5 linked regions of the Ovis aries genome follow. The protein of the gene in region 1 interacts with the protein of each later gene in a biochemical or structural test. Links are inferred from orthologs where the notes say so. Each region holds a gene or a part of one and is shown in the gene's direction. Other genes may lie near its edges.

Evidence for each region.
Region 2: the proteins of HTT (region 1) and HIP1 form a complex in vitro, tested with the Homo sapiens proteins (2 studies listed by BioGRID). The link is inferred for Ovis aries from reciprocal best matches to the Homo sapiens genes HTT and HIP1.
Region 3: the proteins of HTT (region 1) and SP1 form a complex in vitro, tested with the Homo sapiens proteins (2 studies listed by BioGRID). The link is inferred for Ovis aries from reciprocal best matches to the Homo sapiens genes HTT and SP1.
Region 4: the proteins of HTT (region 1) and PRPF40A form a complex in vitro, tested with the Homo sapiens proteins (2 studies listed by BioGRID and IntAct, with this or other methods). The link is inferred for Ovis aries from reciprocal best matches to the Homo sapiens genes HTT and PRPF40A.
Region 5: the proteins of HTT (region 1) and PACSIN1 form a complex in vitro, tested with the Homo sapiens proteins (2 studies listed by BioGRID and IntAct). The link is inferred for Ovis aries from reciprocal best matches to the Homo sapiens genes HTT and PACSIN1.

Annotation. Positions count from the first base shown.
Region 1 is NC_056059.1:116,338,649-116,342,163, reverse strand, and holds part of HTT (huntingtin), read left to right. Parts: coding exon 1-35; coding exon of another isoform or gene 36-133; intron 134-968; coding exon 969-1,064; intron 1,065-1,462; coding exon 1,463-1,650; intron 1,651-2,781; coding exon 2,782-2,908; intron 2,909-3,515.
Region 2 is NC_056077.1:34,461,026-34,464,984, reverse strand, and holds the start of HIP1 (huntingtin-interacting protein 1), read left to right. Parts: upstream 1-1,151; 5' UTR 1,152-1,172; coding exon 1,173-1,292; intron 1,293-1,867; exon of another isoform or gene 1,868-3,959. UniProt on the Homo sapiens protein: Plays a role in clathrin-mediated endocytosis and trafficking. Involved in regulating AMPA receptor trafficking in the central nervous system in an NMDA-dependent manner. Regulates presynaptic nerve terminal activity.
Region 3 is NC_056056.1:133,094,303-133,097,817, reverse strand, and holds part of SP1 (transcription factor Sp1), read left to right. Parts: intron 1-1,642; coding exon 1,643-1,842; intron 1,843-2,239; coding exon 2,240-2,553; 3' UTR 2,554-3,515. UniProt on the Homo sapiens protein: Transcription factor that can activate or repress transcription in response to physiological and pathological stimuli.
Region 4 is NC_056055.1:156,941,832-156,945,346, forward strand, and holds part of PRPF40A (pre-mRNA-processing factor 40 homolog A), read left to right. Parts: intron 1-199; coding exon 200-253; intron 254-1,855; coding exon 1,856-1,880; intron 1,881-2,538; coding exon 2,539-2,910; intron 2,911-3,515.
Region 5 is NC_056073.1:8,655,025-8,658,997, forward strand, and holds the start of PACSIN1 (protein kinase C and casein kinase substrate in neurons protein 1), read left to right. Parts: upstream 1-1,163; 5' UTR 1,164-1,322; intron 1,323-3,973. UniProt on the Homo sapiens protein: Plays a role in the reorganization of the microtubule cytoskeleton via its interaction with MAPT; this decreases microtubule stability and inhibits MAPT-induced microtubule polymerization.

The DNA of each region.
Region 1 (3,515 bases):
CCTCATCCACTGTGTGCGGTTCATCCTGGAGGCCAGTGAGTCTGAGACGGGGGCGTGCTGTCATCTGGCCCTTGAAGCGGCGGTCAGCGCCACAGGGCTAGTCGCAAGTGGTCGCTTGCCACCTGCTCTCCAGGTGCTGAGTTGGGACTCGGGAGTGAGGAGGTGGAGGATTTACGGGCCTTGCCTTCATCTCCAGTCTCCTGGAGTCGGCACTAGAATTTAGTTGCTTCTGTGTAGATTTGGAATTTCAGCTTTCATTAAAAAATGCATCTAATTTATGGCCCTTTGATTTCTGGTCCTGGTTAACTGTTTCATTCTTTTAGTCGTAAATCATCATAAGACTAATAAGATTACGTTCAAAAAAATTCCTTGTTTTCTGTTATAGTCGAAATGCTTGTTTCTATACTGTATTAATTTTGAAATAAAAGTGTCTTATTCTTTTCAAGGGACAGTGTCCTTAACAAGGGTCATTAGTCAAAATGTTTTTAAAATTGGGTGTTATAGTTTACATGTGAGAGGGTGTCTTGATGTTTTGTATTTTTAAATTAAATATAGAGTGGTGTTTTGAAGAGTCATTGTTTAAATTGTTTTCATCTGTGCATTTGTAGTAACATGAAAACGAGGATCCAGGGAGTGATTTACCAAAGCCAGGCTTCTTGGGGCTCCAGGCATGCTGTTAGCAGTAATGGATCATGAGCTGCCTGATGAAAGCCCTCAGGGTCAGAGGTGGCAGCGAGCAGGAGGACTGGGGACTCAAGTGTAGAAGCGTTTTAGACTGACCCAGAGGTTGATACCCGAGTCTAGTGGGTCTGAAATCGTCCCAAGTTGAATCTAGGAAATTTCAACCTCTTTCGACCTAGTCTGTCACTTGGGAAATGTTCATAAGGCTGCGCGAATGTAAAAATCTGAACAGAAAGGAGTGGTCGACATGCTCTGGAACGCTTCTGTTTGTTCTGTTGTGATCTTAGTTGTGGTGCAGCCCGGGGACCAGCTTCTTAGTCCAGAAAGCAGGACGAGCGCCCCCAGGTCTGCCAGAGAGGACGGCGTGGACTCAGACACACAGAGTGAGTCTCAGGCTCACGCCTCTTCCGCCGCGCCTGCAGGGGCTTGAGACTCGGTCACGGAAGAGGCCTCCCGCGCGGTCGGTGTGGACGCTTGACCCGACCTCAGCTGTATCCTGCTTGTCCTGGAGCTGGGGGTGGCGCCCTGCCCACCCCGCTGTGGGCATGCTCCGCCGCCTGGCTCTCTGTGACCCCACTCCCCGCGGGGGTGTCCCGCTCAGCTGATGGGGCTACAGGAGGGTGAAGTAAATGAGTCCACGTGAGGCGCCCACGACAGGTCACGTCTCTGGCGCGTGGTTGGCCTGTGCCTCCCATCCTGCGAGGCTGGGCAGGTCGGGGGCGGGGCGGCGGTTCGGGGTGTGTTTCAACAGAAGGGGCCTCTTACGGTGGTGTCTGTTCAGCCCCTCAGTACGTCGCTGCAGCCTGTGGCATGGTGGCCGAGATGGTGGAGTGCCTGCCGTCGGTGTTGGCCTTGGGCCACAAGAGGAACAGCCACACGCCCGCGTTCCTCACACCGGTGCTCAGGAACATCATCATCAGCTTGGCCCGCCTGCCCCTCGTCAACAGCTACACGCGTGTCCCGCCCCTGGTGAGTCTGCCCTCCCCTGGCGCAGGACGGAAACGAGGCAGACTCTCGGCAGGCCCCCAACTCGGGGGTCCCTGAGCAGGAAGCCAGGTCATGAGCGCTCCGATGCCCGCTGACGGGGCCTGTGTGCAGTCAAGACGACCGTCCGGGTTCCTCGGGCGTGACGTAGCTCGGCCGTTAGTAGGAGTGCCCTGAAACGGGGTGAGGAGGTACGTAGCAGGCGCCAGGCATGATTCTACAGTCATCAGGCCCGTTTGTTTAGTGGGAGAGCAGAAATTAGACCCCTGTCAGCAGTCACCCCAGGGCGGCCCGGGGGTTTGGCAGAGCCGCAGCTCAGCTGCTCTTCCAAAGCTGGCTTCGGAACTGGAACCACGATCCAGTGGGCATCGTTAAAGGACCTGGCTCCAGATAACTGGCAGGGCCTGGATGAGCAGGGTGTGGGGCTTAGCCGTCCGGGGGAGGCGGGCCGGGGCCGGAGGCAGGTGCTTGTTGCTACCTGGGGAGGGCGCGCGCCAGCTGCGGGGGGCGCAACCTCTGTGCGCTCGAGATTCTGCAGTGGCTGCTCGGAGGAGGTGAGAGGCCCTTGGCTTGAAGAGGATTTTGCTGTGGGAGGGGAAGAAGTCCCACTGGGGGCTCCTTCTGAGAGAAAGCCCAGCAGCTGCTGTCCTGAGGTCACCGTGGAAATGGGAGGAGAGCCGGGGAGCTGGTGCCACCCTCGGGCCGTCCCCGCAGGTGTTGAGCCTTTGGGAGGGAGTGGGGAGCAGATACAGGAAGGCACAGTCCGGAGGCCCTGCTGTCTGGCCCGCACAGACCACGCCCCGTAGGCGAGGCTCCTTGCGCGAGTGCTGCACCCCACGCAACTCCCTGAGAGTGCCAGAGGCACTGGAGCTGCTGCACCAGGGGCCGGACTCGGGGACCCAGCGCGAGCCCTGGCTGGTGGCTCGCACCCTCGAGGGGCCGGCTGGGAGCTGGGCTCCTGCCGCTGGAGCAGCGCCGGACGACAACGCTGGACTCGGAGAGCTCCCCCGTTCAACCGTGTCTGCAGCCAGGGAGCTGTCGGGAGAGAAGGCGCATTTTCAGGTGCCCTCCCTGTCCGGCCACCCTGCCTTCACTGTTTCTCTCCCACCCTCTTAGGTATGGAAACTCGGATGGTCACCCAAACCGGGCGGGGATTTCGGCACAGTGTTCCCTGAGATCCCCGTGGAGTTCCTCCAGGAGAAGGAGGTCTTTAAAGAGTTCATCTACCGCATCAACACGCTGGGTAGGCCGGGGCCCTGTGGGCGCATCGCCCTAACACAGCTGCCGGGAGCCGGGGCGGTGGTGGGATCTGCCTTCTTTTATTCCAGGGAGGAGTTGAGGCAGGACACAGTCGTGTGCGTATGTTCTGTAATACACACAAAGCTGTCACGGTAACGGAGTGTGTGTGCATGTGTGTGTGAGAGAGCGTTTCTTTCCCCGTGTTCAGATCAGGTCAGGCGGTGCCCCCTTGATGGGCGGTACTGAGCCGGGTTCAGCCTGTGTCTCCGCCCCTCGGCTGGAGGGTGCGGGGTTCCCTGCGGGAGCCACCTGTAATCACTGCCACCCTGACCCCTGTGTGCCAGGCAGAGCGGTGTGCTCCATGAGGCAGGGCAGGCCACTTTGACCCCTAGGACTGCGCTTCTGCCGTCCATGGCATGAGGGTGGCGACTGTTTCCCACAACTGCTGCAACCTTAGAAACGGAAGGGGCCCTGATGCACGGCGTCCCCGTCAGCAGCAGGGCCCCAGGCTTCGCTCAGGACGCCGCCTTGCTGCCTGCAGCGTAGCAGAAGCTTACCCTCTTCGTCCACGTGTCGTGGCTGGGGGTAGGCCTGGTGCGTGAGCGCTGTCA
Region 2 (3,959 bases), on another chromosome or scaffold:
ACACGATGCCAGCTGGCAAAGCCGTCAGAGGCTCCCCAGTGCCTACATAGGCCCACCCCCTCTTCTGCTTCTCTATTGAATGTGTGAATTTTTATCAAAAGCTCTTAGTCAAAAAAAAAAAAAAAAAAGTAACGCCTTTCTTTACTTTGAGTTGCAAAAAGCATTTATTTTTAAAACATCAAAATTGGCATTTGAACAGAAAACTTTTAACTTTCTTCAGCATCTCGGCTAAGGATCTTACTTCCACCCCCTTCCATCCCCCCTACGCCTGTCGTCAGTACCTTGGCTGACGACGGAGCAGGATGGGAGGGGTGTCCCAGAGCCGGGGATAAATATTAAAATGTCCACATGGGTTTCTACCAACGAATACATCCTGACCAGATCCAGAGGGTGAGAGGTTTGTAAAGGTGTCGAGAAGTTTCCACTGACCCAGCCCAGCGCTCCCTGGTCTGCGAACATTACAAAAGGGATGGGCAGGGATTCGGGGCAGGGGCAGGACGAGGGAGAAGGCGGTGGGAGCCGCTACCCACGCCGGCCAGGTCTGCGACCCGCTGAACCAACCTGCGGAGGCCCGGCCTCAGGGCAAGCGCATCCTGGGACAGGGGCCGCCGAGCTGGTCCATCGCGCGCGCTCTTGTCTCCGGCCCGAAAAGAGTTAACAGGCCAGTCCCACGCGGGCCCGGATTCCCTGCGGCAGGCCCAACTCACCGCCAGCTTGACCCCCGCCCACCAACCAAGCCGGGACCTCGCGGCGCCCGGGGTGGGGTGGGGGGACTGGGAGAGTGCGGCTCGCTGGGAGCTCGCGGGTGCAGCCAGCGGCTGGGAGAGCCGCGCTCTGGGCGTCGGGGAAGGGGCGGGCTAGGGCAGGTCAGGCCCGCCCCCGCCAGGGGCGGTGGAGGCCGGTGACCGACAGGCCTCCGGGCCCGTCCCGGCGCGCCTGACGGTCCGGAGCGCCCTGCAGGGTAGGGCCGGGGCGGGGGCTCTGGAGAGGGCGGGGGCGGACGGGGAAGCCTCTGGGCTGGGGCGGGGCCTCGGCAGAGTAGCAGCGCTCTCAGCCAATGGGAGGCGGGCGCCTTCCCGTTAGCGCCGGATCCCAGTGGATAGGGAGGGGCGGGCGGCGCCGTGGGGATCCCGGGGCGGCTGAGGGCCCCTGACTCGGCTCCGCGCGGCGACATGGACCGGATGGCCAGCTCCATGAAGCAGGTCCCCAACCCCCTGCCGAAGGTGCTGAGCCGGCGTGGGGTTGGCGCGGGGATGGAGGCTGCGGAGCGGGAGAGCTTTGAGCGGACTCAGGTGAGGACCGGGGCGGGGTGGGGGACACCCCCGGTCGTGCACGGCTGGGGCATCCCGCAGTGTCCTGGAGGGGACTCGAAGGGAGTAGGGATCTTGCAGGCCCAGGGAAGGACTGAGCAAGGGGGCATCTGGTGCGGTGGTCAAGGCGGTCTGGGAAGGTCGGGGACCCCGGGGCCATCCCGGCTGGCCTGGGGGAGAGGGCAGGGCGGCTCTGAGCAGCTGGCACGGTCCGCGCGGTGCGACCGACTGGAGCCGGTCCCGGCGGGGCAGGGCAGGGGTCACGGGGGCGGTGAGAGGGGAAGGAACGCGAAAAGGGGGCCGAATGGAAGGGGTGCCCCTAGCTGGGGAAGGTCCCTGGCGGGGGGGGGGTGGCGCTGGGGGTCGCAAGTGTGGCTGCAGAGAGTGGGGCGCTGAGTCGGGAATGTGAGGGCTGGGGCGCCCTGTACTCTCCGCTCGATCACTTCAGGACTGCGTTGACATTCCCCCCGTCCCTAGCATCCCCTTCCTTGTGCCTCTAGCTTGGCTCACGCCAGCCCCCAGCTGTCGGCCTCGGAGGACCGGACTGAAGGGGTCTGAGCCCGGAGGAAGGAATGTAGGAAATGCGGTGTGTGGCCGAGTTTGGAAGATGACCGGGGGCTGGAGGAGGGGGCCGGCCCAAGGACAGATATTGAGGGTCCTGGACCAGTGGCCCCGATTCGGGTCAAGTTGGGTTGTTCTGGGGTGCCCAGAACCCTGAATCGGGGTTTTGATTTCATCCCCCTAAATGTGCCTGACAGCTAATAGGCAGCCTGCCCTAAATTGTCCAGCCTGAGCAGGGCTAGGGGCCAAAATTCCTCACTGTCATCAACAAAAAGCCACAATCCATTTTTACCTCAGAGTTTTAATGCCTGGTGTATTGATTGGACTGAATAAAGCTGACATGTTTATGGTGTTCATCGGCTGGTTTGTATGCAAAATCCATTTCGAAGGGCACAGCACTTCTTTTAATCCCACTGCTGAAGTTGTATGGGCAAGTTTGTTCCTCACTCGCGCTCACTCTTGCTCTCGGAGTGAAACCTTTGAAGAGCCAGGGGGCTTCCGCTGCCAGAAGCTGGTTCTCCCGTTCTGTTCTGCTCCCCACCGCCCTCCCCAAACTTAGTACCATGTGAAGGAAGGGCAGTGGGGTTTTAGATAAAGATTGTGAGGTCCTGATCGAGTGTTCCATGTAGGGAATCTTGCAAAGAAGGAAACTTTTCATGAAAACCCAGGAGACTAATTCCTCTTCTTTTTCCAGGCACCTCTGGCCCTTCACAGGTGTGTCCAGGTGGTGTAAAGTAGGCAGTGTCCCCTCCCTAGGTCATCATTCTACCCCACACGGGATGGGAGAGAAGGCTCTTTACTTCTCTCTCCCAGGGTCTGGCTGGGTTTAAGCTTTATTTTCTAATTCTGTGGATTGGACCCCAGAAAGGAAGGAAGATGCTTGTCTGCTATGGGCATTATGCCCTCGTCTAGCTGCCTGGGCACACAAGGCTTCTTGCTCCAGGAAACAGTGTAAATCTTTCTTGTAATGGACAAGGAAAATAAATGGTAATTCATTCCTTTTAGAGTCTCCAGTAAAAACTGGAGCAATAGAGAAATACACATAAGAGTTTGACCCATTATAGTGATGGAAATTAGGTTTGTGAAAGTTTCTCTAGCTATCCAGGGACGTCCCAACAAGGAGAGTCTAGGTCAGTGTTAGGCAGTATCTTACATTCTGTGGGGCACTGATAATTGGCCAGATTTGAGCTAGTGGCGTGTGTGTGTGTGTGTGTGTGTGTGTGTGTGTGTGTGTGTGTGTGTGTAAGGGAGGTAGAATGAATCAGGAAAAGAGTTTCTGTGTTGTTGAAACTATTAGGGCAATAAGAGAGTGAAGAAAAGGAAAGAGAACAATTCTAAAAACCTCACCTTAGTCAATCTGCAAAAATGTGTATTGTTTAATGACTACTTACCCAATGTATGTGTGTGTTAGTCACTCAGTCGTGTCTGAATCTTTGCTACCCCATGGACTGCAGCCTGCCAGGCTCCTCTGTCCACAGAATTCTCCAGGCAAGAATACTGGAATGGGCAGCCATTCACTTCTCCAGGAGATCTTCCCAACCCAGGGATCGAACCCTGGTCTCCCTCATTGCAGGCAGATTCTTTACAGTCTGAGCCATATGAACATGAGTTATAAAAAAAATTTAATGAGTTAAGAGACCATGGAATCAGTGAAGGTGGGCGGATGATTGTAACTAATTATGTTTGGCACTTTTCTGAGTACTTTATTGTATCACCTTCTTTAATTTCAGTAAAGTACTGTGAGGTGATATTGACAAGGACCTATGAGGTGAGTATCAACCACATTTTATCTGGAGGAAATTGAGGCACAGAGAAGTTAAGTAACTTGCCCAAGGTCAGACAGCATGTTGTGATCCCAACCTTTAACCACAGCTCTGTGTGGCTTCTGAGTACTGGGCCGAGCACTGGTATGGGAACTGGAAGAGGCTGAAATTTGATAGCCAGGCACATGGAGGGGCTGTGGTCCCAGGCAAGTTTTCCAGCTTTTCTTAGCCTTGGGTTCCTTATTGCAAAATAAGGATACTACTTACCTCACAGGTTGATTATGGGAGACTAGATTAAATAATATACCTGGAGGCATTTTGTAAA
Region 3 (3,515 bases), on another chromosome or scaffold:
AGAAATTACGTTTTTTTTTTAAAAAAGAACTTAAGAAAAAAATAAGCACAAAAATAAGAAATGTACAAAAACAAAAAACAGTTTGAATTCTTTGTAGGTTACTCTATATTATGGAAAAAACCCGAATCAAAAACACTTAAGTACATGGACTTCCCAGGTGGTCCAGTGGTTAAGATTACACACTTACAGTGTAGGGAACATGGGTTCAATCCCTGGTCGGGGAACTAAGATCCTGCCTGTTGCATAGCACCCCCCAAAATTTAATTAAAAGGGGAAAAAAAGCTCTTGAGTACAGTAGAGTTTCCCTCTCACAAAGCTTCAAGTGGATTTAAGTTTTTGAAATAAATTCTCTGACTTCCACCTAAGTATGATTTCATTTCTGTTATGTTTTTTTTCTCTGCTCCTCTGCTAATGTGTGCTGTTAAAACCCAAGGCAAATCTCTTTTGGAAATCTCCATAGTGCCCACTAATGGATCACACATGGTACAAATTGGTTTGGCAAAAACATTTCAGAACTGATTTCCTGAGAGGAGCTTAGGATTTGCTCCATATAGGGAATTTTTTTTTTTTTTAAATATACCTTGAATTAGTTATGGTCCTTTTTTCCCCTTTTTAACTTTTTTCCATCCCATCTTCTTCCACTGATGTCTCTCATAGTACTCTATCTTTTCAGCTTTTAATCTTTACCTTTTGGCTCTTGACCTTTATTTTGGAGAAGGGAAAGCTTTGTAGTTGTAAAATATTATGTTTTAAAGTTCTCCACCAAATGCTTAATGGAGAGACCTTTTGTTCACTAATAAGTTCCCAGTCAAAAATATCACCACATCACCATATTCACAGTGGCTACCATGGAAAATGCATGTATTGAGACTTAACATCCAGAAAAATACAGGAAAATGCCTCATAGATTTCACAAGTCACCTTGAAAATGACATCACACATTGGAATTGACTATAAAGATTTAGCTGTTGATATTAAAAGTGAAGGCTTTTGGGAATTCCCTTGTGGTCCAGTAGTTAAGACTCTGCACGTTCACTGCAAGGGGCACAAGTTTGGTCCCTGATCCAGGGACTAAGATCCTGCATGCCATAAACAAATTTAAAAAAATAAAATGAAAAAAAAAAAAAGAATTGAAAAAAATAATAAAATAAAATAAAATGAAGGCATTTGTGTGTGTGTGTTGAGAAGTCTTTTTTCTTTTTGTAAACTGTACATATCTAAGTGCACATTTTGATGTTTATTTATTTATAGCTACACTAGGTCTTTATGGCTCTGTGGGCTTTCTTTTGTCGTGATTGGGGGCTACTCTTTGTTGTGGTGCACCGGCTTCTCATTGCAATGGCTTCTCTTGTTGCATTGCACGGGCTGTAGGGCCCGCAGACTTCAGTAGTTGCAACCCCTGGGCTCTAGAGCACAGGCTCAGTAGTGGTGGCACATGGACTTAGTTGCTCCATGGCATGTGGGATCTTCCCGGAACTGGTTCGAACCTATGTCTCCTAAGTTGATAGGCAGATTCCTTTTTTTTTTTTTTTAAATAAAAACTTCGATTAGTTTTGAGTGGGTCCAGTAATTACTGTGGGTACTTTATGACTCTAATTTTGTCTCTAAAATGAACAAAGAATAATTGTGTTTTCATTTCCAGGGGCTCTGGGGATCCTGGCAAGAAGAAACAGCACATTTGTCACATGCAAGGCTGTGGCAAAGTATATGGCAAGACCTCACACCTACGGGCACACTTGCGCTGGCATACAGGCGAGAGGCCTTTCATGTGTACCTGGTCATTCTGTGGGAAACGCTTCACACGTTCAGATGAGTTACAGAGGCACAAACGCACACACACAGGTGAGCGGGAACTTGGGAAGGGAGAGGTAGTAATGGACCAGAATGAAAAGACAAAATATACCTCGGAAGTAACTAAAATTTCTGAGCAACTTATGTTTGAAATTGAATGTATGGATCATAAATGGCATTGGAGTTAATCTGAAAACCCTTAAGAAATAAGGGTTCTGAAGGTCCTATCTTACTTTTCTGCTATACTTCTTCCTTTCTGAGGACTCTCTAATCTTTACTCTTTTTTCCCCCCAAAAGACAAAAGATAATCACCAGAATTTTCTTGTTTTTAATCACCTTTAAGATTAGTCTTATTCTGCCTTATATAGTTTGAAGGGAATGAATTGAACAAGGTATCCCTACTTCCTAAGATGTGATTGTCTCATCTTCTTACTCTTCCTTTACCTAGGTGAGAAGAAATTTGCCTGCCCTGAGTGTCCCAAGCGCTTCATGAGGAGTGACCACCTGTCAAAGCATATCAAGACCCACCAGAATAAGAAGGGAGGCCCGGGTGTAGCCCTGAGTGTGGGCACTTTGCCCCTGGACAGTGGGGCAGGTTCAGAAGGCAGTGGTACTGCCACCCCTTCAGCCCTTATTACCACCAACATGGTAGCCATGGAGGCCATTTGTCCGGAGGGTATTGCCCGTCTTGCCAACAGTGGCATCAATGTCATGCAGGTGGCAGATCTGCAGTCCATCAATATCAGTGGCAATGGCTTCTGAGGTCAGGCACCTGGGGCCAGAGACGTATGGGCCATACCCGTCAACCCTGGGATGCAAGGTAGCATGGGTCCAAGAGACGCGTGGGAGAGTGAGCCGTGAGGCATTGAAATGCGTGGTGGTGGGAAGAATTGGGGGTGGGACACAGAAGAGATGGGGTCCTGGCACCCACCTGTGTCATCAGTACCTTCTTAAAGTGGGAAACATAGTGAAAATTCTGTTGGTGCCACCTTTGATGAGCATTTGTTTGACCCCAAACAGTTTCTGAACACTTCTTACCCCAGCCTCCCCTTCCTGCATTTCCCTTCTCAGCTCCCCCATGATGGATCCCCCCCTTTCCTAAAGCCATCATGCCTTGATAAATATATATGATCATTGAAATACTTTTTAACAAAAACAGATTCTATATTATATATATATATATAAAAGATATATAGAGATGCATTTGCAGGGGTTGGCTGGGAGGAGGAAGGAGACCATTCGGTGACCAAAATACCTTGGTCATTTTTTTATATTGCCTTATTTCCTTATGGCTGAGCCTTGTTGTGACACATCAAGATTTTCTATAGATGTTGTCTTGGCTTCCCACCAGATTAAGCATTTATATGCTCTGCTTTTAGTTTATATATACATAGATAATGTTTTCCTTTTCTTAATTTTGTCTTTTAATTTGGGATCAGCTTCTTGCACTCTTTCCCTGACTCAACCCTTTCTGTCTCCCCTTCTCTCACCTGATCACTTCATGTTTTGTTTTTGGTAGTGGTCCCTGGATGAGGCACTTCTGTCATGTTTTTATAAAGTCCTTAGTCCCAGCAGCAGAATGGAGAAGCCTTGAAGCTCAGGCGAATGCTTGAGGTAGCTGTGAAGAGAGTGTTCAAAATACTACTGACGCAGGCACCCTTTTGGTGCTGGAGAGTCAAAGGCACCTCTCTCTTCATTAGCTGCTCTAAGCATCAGGAATCAGA
Region 4 (3,515 bases), on another chromosome or scaffold:
TCCTTTTTATATATGTGTGTTATTCACAGTCCTTCGTAAATAGGATTGTTCAATCAAAGGCCTTATTTTTTTTAATTAAGTGATTAGAACGTTTTAAATGGTGTAACAGTTTTATGGGCTCTTATTTTCTTGTTGCTCTAGATCTCAGTTCTATAGATTTTAAATAGATTTTTATTTGATTTGATTCCACTGAAACTAGGATACCAGAATACCATTGTTGCTGGAAGTCTTATTACAAAATCAAACCTGCATGGTGAGCTGCTTTGATAATTCATTTTCTGTCATTATTTAACATTTTTAGAGTATGTCACTAATGTTCACTAACCATAATTGGATAAATCTGCAGTGAGAAATTTCTAATTCAAAAAATTCCTTTCATTTAAGGGTTATATTATAAATGAGCTTGTAATTTTTAACGTTGTACTTGGACTTTCTTTTTTTAAACAAAAGCATCATTCGATAATTGAACAAAGATATCATATACAATATTTCTAAAGACAGCTCTGAGTGTTGGTGCATACATGGAATATGTGACTTAACTCATTTAGCAGATAGAGAACCTTGAACTCTTTTATCAGTTTAAATTTTGTTAACATACTGTCAGACTCTGCATTTAATGCTGATTTTATTTTACCACAACATTGCAAAATAGCCTTTATGTTTATTAATGGAGAATTAAATTAAAATGCCATGCATCACAGAATTAAATTAAAATGCCATGCATGACAGAAGGAGAATATTCTAGCATCCTCAACTATTCAGAACATTCCTGCAAATCTATGAATATTACCTACTATAAAAACCTTGGACTTAAAATAGATTATGGGTAGGAATTGAGAATTTATTTTTTACTCTGACTTATAATAGAATCTGGTGTCATAATCTATATCCGGTTAGAAAAAACAAATTGTAGGAGAATGGGACTGTTTGAAACATAAGATGACATCTGAAGGAAAGAGAATAAGCATTTCTTAAAGGCACTGTGCTCTTATGTCTGTTTAACTTTTCCCTGTGTTACCTCATTCGCTTGGATGATCATTTTATCTGGAGAATTGAATTAGTAGTGATAACACCTTCAGTATGTTTTGTCAGCCATTCTAAACACATTTCCTTTCAAAGGGGACAAGTTTCAAAAATACTTCGATGGAGTTAAGCTTATATTATCATTTACATGGAGCACCTCATTCCTAATAATGTGAATAAATGAGATATCTGTGTTACCTGTAAAGAAAAATTTACTTTAACTAGATTGAAATCTGAAATACTGAGTGAAGATCTTTAAAGCTTAACTTACATTTCTATACTAGCACTGGCTAATAATACTATTGTAGATAGGTAGATTCCCACTTCATTCATGTAAGGAACGTCAAGCTCATTTCTGATATAACCCTACTACAAATAGTTGGTGTGCATAACTATCTATCTACCTGTCAATGCTAGTATATATGTGCTGGAATTTCATAACATACATTCAATCCCATTTTGAATTTAGTATCTTAAAGAAAAGCAAATGGTTTTATCCCTGAGGAAAATGTTGTTTTATTTCAGAATTACGCAGATATTTTAAGAGTGTTTTTGCAGTAGCCAGCAGCCTTTGAGAAGGTAGCATTGTGGGAAGAAGCTCTCCTAAAACCTGCTGTTAATTTAAAATTTGTTTTTATTCTTTAATTTCTGTCCTGGAATTTATAGAGCACTTGCACTGTAAATGTAGTGTTTTGTTTTTTTTTTTTTTTAAAGGCTGATAAATTAAATCATACTGTATGGAACTTTTAATCTCCTTTTAAAGTTGTTTTCAGTGACTTTATTTAAAAACTATGTAATATTTATTTAACTTTTCCTTTTTTCTTTTTAATAGCAATGATCAAAGCTGAAGAAAGCAGGTAAGCAATTTTGGACATCAGTACGTATTTATAAATTTACAGCATCCTCCTATAACATCCTTGTTTTAATTGTCTGTATACATAGTGTTTAACATGGTAGACCTGATAGTTTGATATCTTTGGAGGATTTGGGACAGGGGAAGAGATGTACTCAGGATACACACATGATGCTCCTAGACAGTTATTTGAATTTGGACTACATCCTTACCAAATTAAGACCATTACAGAAATGTCCAAAATTTGATTTTGGTTAATTTGAGAACAGATGAAATATTTTATCTATCTCTTCCTTTACCCAGATTTTCCTTTCAGTGGGTGAAATAAATAAAATTTAAAGAAATTTACAATATAAATTGAATTTTAAGGCATAATACAATCTAATTGGACATTTTGCAAATGAAAATGATTATTGGTTTTGGAAATGCAGATTGTTGCATCAGTGCATTATATGTTATCACAAATGTTTGCCAAATTAAAGTAATTCTGTTTCATACTGTGGTTTTAATCTTTTTAGATGGCTTAATAGTTTGGCAATACTGCCCTTTTTCCCTTTAGTTTCTCTTATTCATTTGATTTTATAGTAATTTAAAACAGACTTTATTTGTGTTTGCAATTATTTGTATCGAACTGACCAGTTTTCTCTTTTTTAAATATATAGTAAACAAGAAGAGTGCACCACAACATCAGCAGCCCCAGTTCCTACAACAGAAATTCCAACCACAATGAGCACCATGGCTGCTGCAGAAGCAGCAGCTGCTGTTGTTGCAGCCGCAGCCGCAGCCGCAGCAGCTGCTGCTGCAGCCAATGCCAGTGCTTCCACTTCTGCCTCTAGTACTGTCAGTGGAACTGTTCCAGTTGTTCCTGAGCCTGAGGTTACTTCGATTGTTGCTACTGTTGTAGATAATGAAAATACAGTAACAATTTCTACTGAAGAACAAGCACAACTTACTAGTACCCCTTCTGTTCAGGATCAAAGTGAAGTGTCTAGTAATACTGGAGAAGAAACATCTAAGCAGGAAACTGTAGCTGAGTAAGTCTAGTAACTTGTTTTCTGCAAATCAGTCACAGACATCATTGGTAACAAGAAATTGCTGATTTAGTCAATGGTCATTACGTGTTTAAAAATTGAGAATCAAAACATATACCTTTAGATAACAGTTTTTGAGATTTACTTTTGTGGGATCGTGCTCTCAAAAGTGTTGCAAAACTATTCTACTTTAGCTTAGAAAGCAGTGCTGGTGATGGGGTGAGTCTATTTAAGTCTGAGTTATGGCTTAGCACAGCACTGCAGGGAAGTTGCTATAAGTTGATACTGAACAAATATGGAAAAATCAAGATAACACTTAACAATGTATAGGCAAGCTGTTAGTAGGATTAAATTGGTACAGCTTTTTGATAAAGCCTGAGAGCTGCATCTCTGAGTTTACAGGTTCTAATTTCAATAGCTGTGCTTTCTGTGTCTATGAAAAGTAACCTTGAGCTATGCTGCTTGACTTAAAAGTTATCACATGTGAAATATTAACCATGATATCAAGATCCAAACATGATCACCCATCTTAATATTTAAGTCTATTGCTTTCATCTCCCTTCCTCTTTTCATAAACTTTTTTTAATTTTTAGTGTGAATTTTCCAAA
Region 5 (3,973 bases), on another chromosome or scaffold:
CACCTGAGGGCAGAGATTTTGTCTATGTGTGTTTTTTTTTTATGGTTAGCGTTTTTTTTAAGAAATAAATTAATTTAAATTAACTTTTATTGGAGTATAGTTGATTTACAATGGTGTGTTAGTTTCTGCTGTACAGCAAAGTGAATCAGCCATACAAATACATATTCCCATTACATATACATACTCTATTCCCATACAGGGCATTAGAGAGTATTGAGTAGACTTCCCTGTGCTCCACACTGGAAGCTTATTAGCTCTCTATTTTTTATATAGTGGTGTGATGTGGACATCCCAGTCCTGTGCTCTACACTGGATGCTTATTAGCTCTCTGTTTTATTCACAGCAGTGTGCATATGTCCATCGCAGTCTCCCAATTTATCCCCCTAACCCCAATTTGGTCTGTTTCGTACTCTGCTACAGTCCAGCCGCTCATCAGTGCCCTGCAGGAAGCAGGTTCTCAGTAGATAGGTGTTGAATAAACCCTCCTTATAAATCCAAGACAGCCGCTTACAAATCTGCAGTGAAGAGAGCTGCCCCAGCGCCCTTCATAGCGTTTAGGTTTCCGGAAGCGTGCAGGGTTTAAGACAGGAAGAGTGCATCGGGGGTCCCAACGAGTCGCTCAGAGAGCCCCTTAGGAGGTGGCCTGGGTGACTTCCCCGTGGGGCCAGTTTGGGCATTTCTGGAAGAAGCTGGTGCGGGGTGCGGGGGTTATGGGTGCGGTGCTGGGGGAGGAGGTGTCCTCACTCCAGAGCACCCCCCTGCCACACACACACACACAGACTCCAGACCTAAAAAAGTGAGGAACGGGCGGAGAGGGGGAGGGGAGCGACGCCCCGGGGTCCCCGGGGCTCCCGCAGGGGGCCGAGGACCAGGGCGCGCGGGAGACGCTCTCGGCGCCCGCCCGCCGCAGCCAGAGCCCCTCGGCCGGGCGCCGCGGAGCAACCCTGGGAGGGGGAGCAGGGCGCGGGCCCGGGCGCTGGGGGTGCTGCCCGCCCCCCCCGCACCTCCTAAGCCGGCAGCTGCCGCCTCAGCAGCGCGGCGCCTCCACCTGCGCAGCCACCGCTCCGCCCGGCGCCGCGCCGCCATTGGCTCGCTAAAAATGCCTCGCTAATCTGCGCCCATCTGCGCGCCTCCGCCCGCCGCCTCCCCTCCTCCTCGGCTCTGACCTTCCTCCTTCGCGCAGCCCCGGGCAAGGTCCGGAGGGACGCGGCGGCGCAGGCTCTCTTGCCCCCCGGGAAGTCGGCCGGGCTTGAGGCCGGGCCCCCAGACGCCCCGCTTGGCCCCGCGGCGCCGCCGATGGTGCCGGGCGCCCCTGCCCCCAGGTGAGAGGTCTGGCCCTTGGGTACGGGGTAGGGAGGGAGCGCTCCAGTCTAGGGGTGCGTGCTGGGGGCGGGCGCAGAGGCGGACAGGGGGGAGGATCGGACAGCTACCTGCAGAGAGGTGAGCGTGCGACCGCGGGTGCTTTGCAAGCGCCGGGATTCTTGAGCATCACCCGGGGCAGTGTCAGGATGTCCCTGAGCTGGGCCCCCTGGGAGACGGACCTGGCGGAGGCCTTCACCCGAGGGGCGGGGGGGGGGGGGGGGGGGGGAAACGCAGAAAATAGGTGCCGTGGGAAGGTGGGACCCAGGCCCCAGGTCCCATCCGAGGCTCTGGCCTGGCTTGTTCCGGTCCCAACAGGGTGGGTAGGCTGATGCCAGCTTGGTGCGTAGGCTGTTTGTGGACCAGAGTTGGCTGGGGAGAAATACAGCAGCTGATGCCCGCCCTCGGTCCTGTCTGGTTTACAGTGAAAGATATTTTTTTCTGTCTTGTCTGCCCCCTTTCCCCACTGCTGAGATGGGAGGTGGGAGAGGAGGAGAAGGTGAGGATAAATGGCCTGCACAGACCGCAGAGGCCAAGGTCTGTTTGGCCCTGCTCCCTTCCCCACCCCCCAGGCCACTTGCTGCCGGTTGGAATTCTCTCTCCTCCTTAGTTTTGCCTTATGGGAGGCCTTGAAAAGCTTAAAAGGTCATCAGGGTGTGAGGGACACAGTGGCAAACCACAGAGCTTGGCCACGACCCAGCTCCAAGCCCGAGCCGCCCCCCACTCTCTACCGCCCAGCTCTGCACCCCACGTGCAGTGACACATGTGCCCGCTTTTCTCTGGGCACAACCATAAATAACTCACGTTGTCCTGGCTCTGGCCTGGCGAGGGTGCAAACAGGACTGTCAATGGTCTTGGAGGTTCCATCCCTCACCCACCCGGCCTTCCCATCACAGGTCCATAAGCCACTCACGCGCCCTCCTCCAGGTAGCTTCCTGCTATCCCAGGTGAGACCCGTGCCGCCTGCCCCGCATTCTCCAGCCTAGCCTGCCTTGTGCCTCTCCCGTGGCCCATAGACCGGAAGTGCTTCAAGACAGAAGTCTGTGTGATTCATCTGTCATTGCCCCTGCACCTGACCTGGGTCTGGCACCAAGTACATGTTTGTGGAATGAGTGAATGAATCCACGTGAACCCTGAGAAATAGCTGGCACCCTGAAGGAGGGGGGTGAACCCCATCTTGGGCTCTCCTCCCATCCCCCAGGGCCAAAGAGCTACTGAAAACAGACTCTCCCATTCAGGCCCTTCCTTGGCCTAGAGGTGATGAGCAGCTACGGCATTTGGAGATAGATACTGGGGTCCTAATGGCTCTAGAGGGTCTTTTTGGGCACCAGGCTTGAGTCCCTGGCTGGTCCAGGCTTGCTGGAAGGCCCTGGTGAAGGTCTGACTTGCCTCAAGCCTCTGGGTTGGCACTTGCCTCCCAGGGTACTGAGCCCATACCAGGTTCTCTGTCTCTGTCCCAGCCCTTAGAAGGGTCCCGGACAGCATCAGGGCATCTGGGAAGGCTCGAGGCAGGCCATGCTCAGCCTCTGGGGTCCTCACAGCGAGCTCTGAACAGATCTGACGATTGTGTGGAGGAGCCAGTGTAGGCCAGAGGAGGACGCTGCCAGCACGAGCTCTGGTCCAGCCGCAAGGCCGTGCCTGTGACATGGTCATTCTCAGGGCGTCTGCAGCCCTCGTTGCTCCTTTGATAGCCATGCTGATAAGACAGCGAGATGTCCTTGCCATCATCTCACAGAGCGGGAGTCTGAGGGTCAGCAGCAGAGCCCAGCCCAGGACACAGTTCCTGGCTCCAAGTCCAGTGTTCTGTCCACGGCACTCGAGGGAGCTGGGGCGAGGCCCCAGGCCCAGGTCAGTGGGTTGTCCTCAATCGCGTCTGGTTCTGTCCCACCCCCAGTGATGGAGAAAGGAAGGGTGCGATGTTCAGGGCTGGGAGAGGATATGGGGGATAGTTTGGTTAGTGCCTGCAAGTGGTTGGCCCAGGGATGCAGAAAAAACAGTAGAAACCAGCAGTGTACAGCATCTGCCAGGAGCCAGGAGGCAGCCACTTTTTCTGTACTGAGTCACTCAACCTTCACTTCAACCCAATTGGATGCTGTTATTATCCCCATTTTACACATGAGGAGACTGAGGCACTGAGAGGTCATCTGTCCAAGGTTACATGGTTTGAAACCGGAGGAGCTTGGATTTGAACCGAGGCTCCAGAGTCCGTTATTCCCTAACGTATTCCCTAACGCAAGAGCAGGAGGGCTGTGGACCTTGGGGCTGGGGCTGTGTCTCCATGGAGACACAGGTTTTAGGTACTCCCACGTGGCAGATAGTGTGTGCTTGATTAGGTGGGACTGTAATGGTTTCAGAGGCTCAAGATGAAAACTCTTTGAGCTCCTGCTGTGTGGCAGGCAGAGATGTTTATAGGACGCCCACCTGAGTCTGTCCCTCCCCTGCTCTGCGTCCGTCGACGGCTCCCTGTTTCTTTGAGGACAGAGCGCAGTCTCCCTCCCGTGGCCCCGCTGCCCTCTCCGGGCCTGGGCTTCCTCTCCATCCTCTGCCCTCCAGCTGCTCTGAACTGCTTTCAGTTCCTCAAATAAACCACCCTCCTCTCACCTGCAGGCCTGTG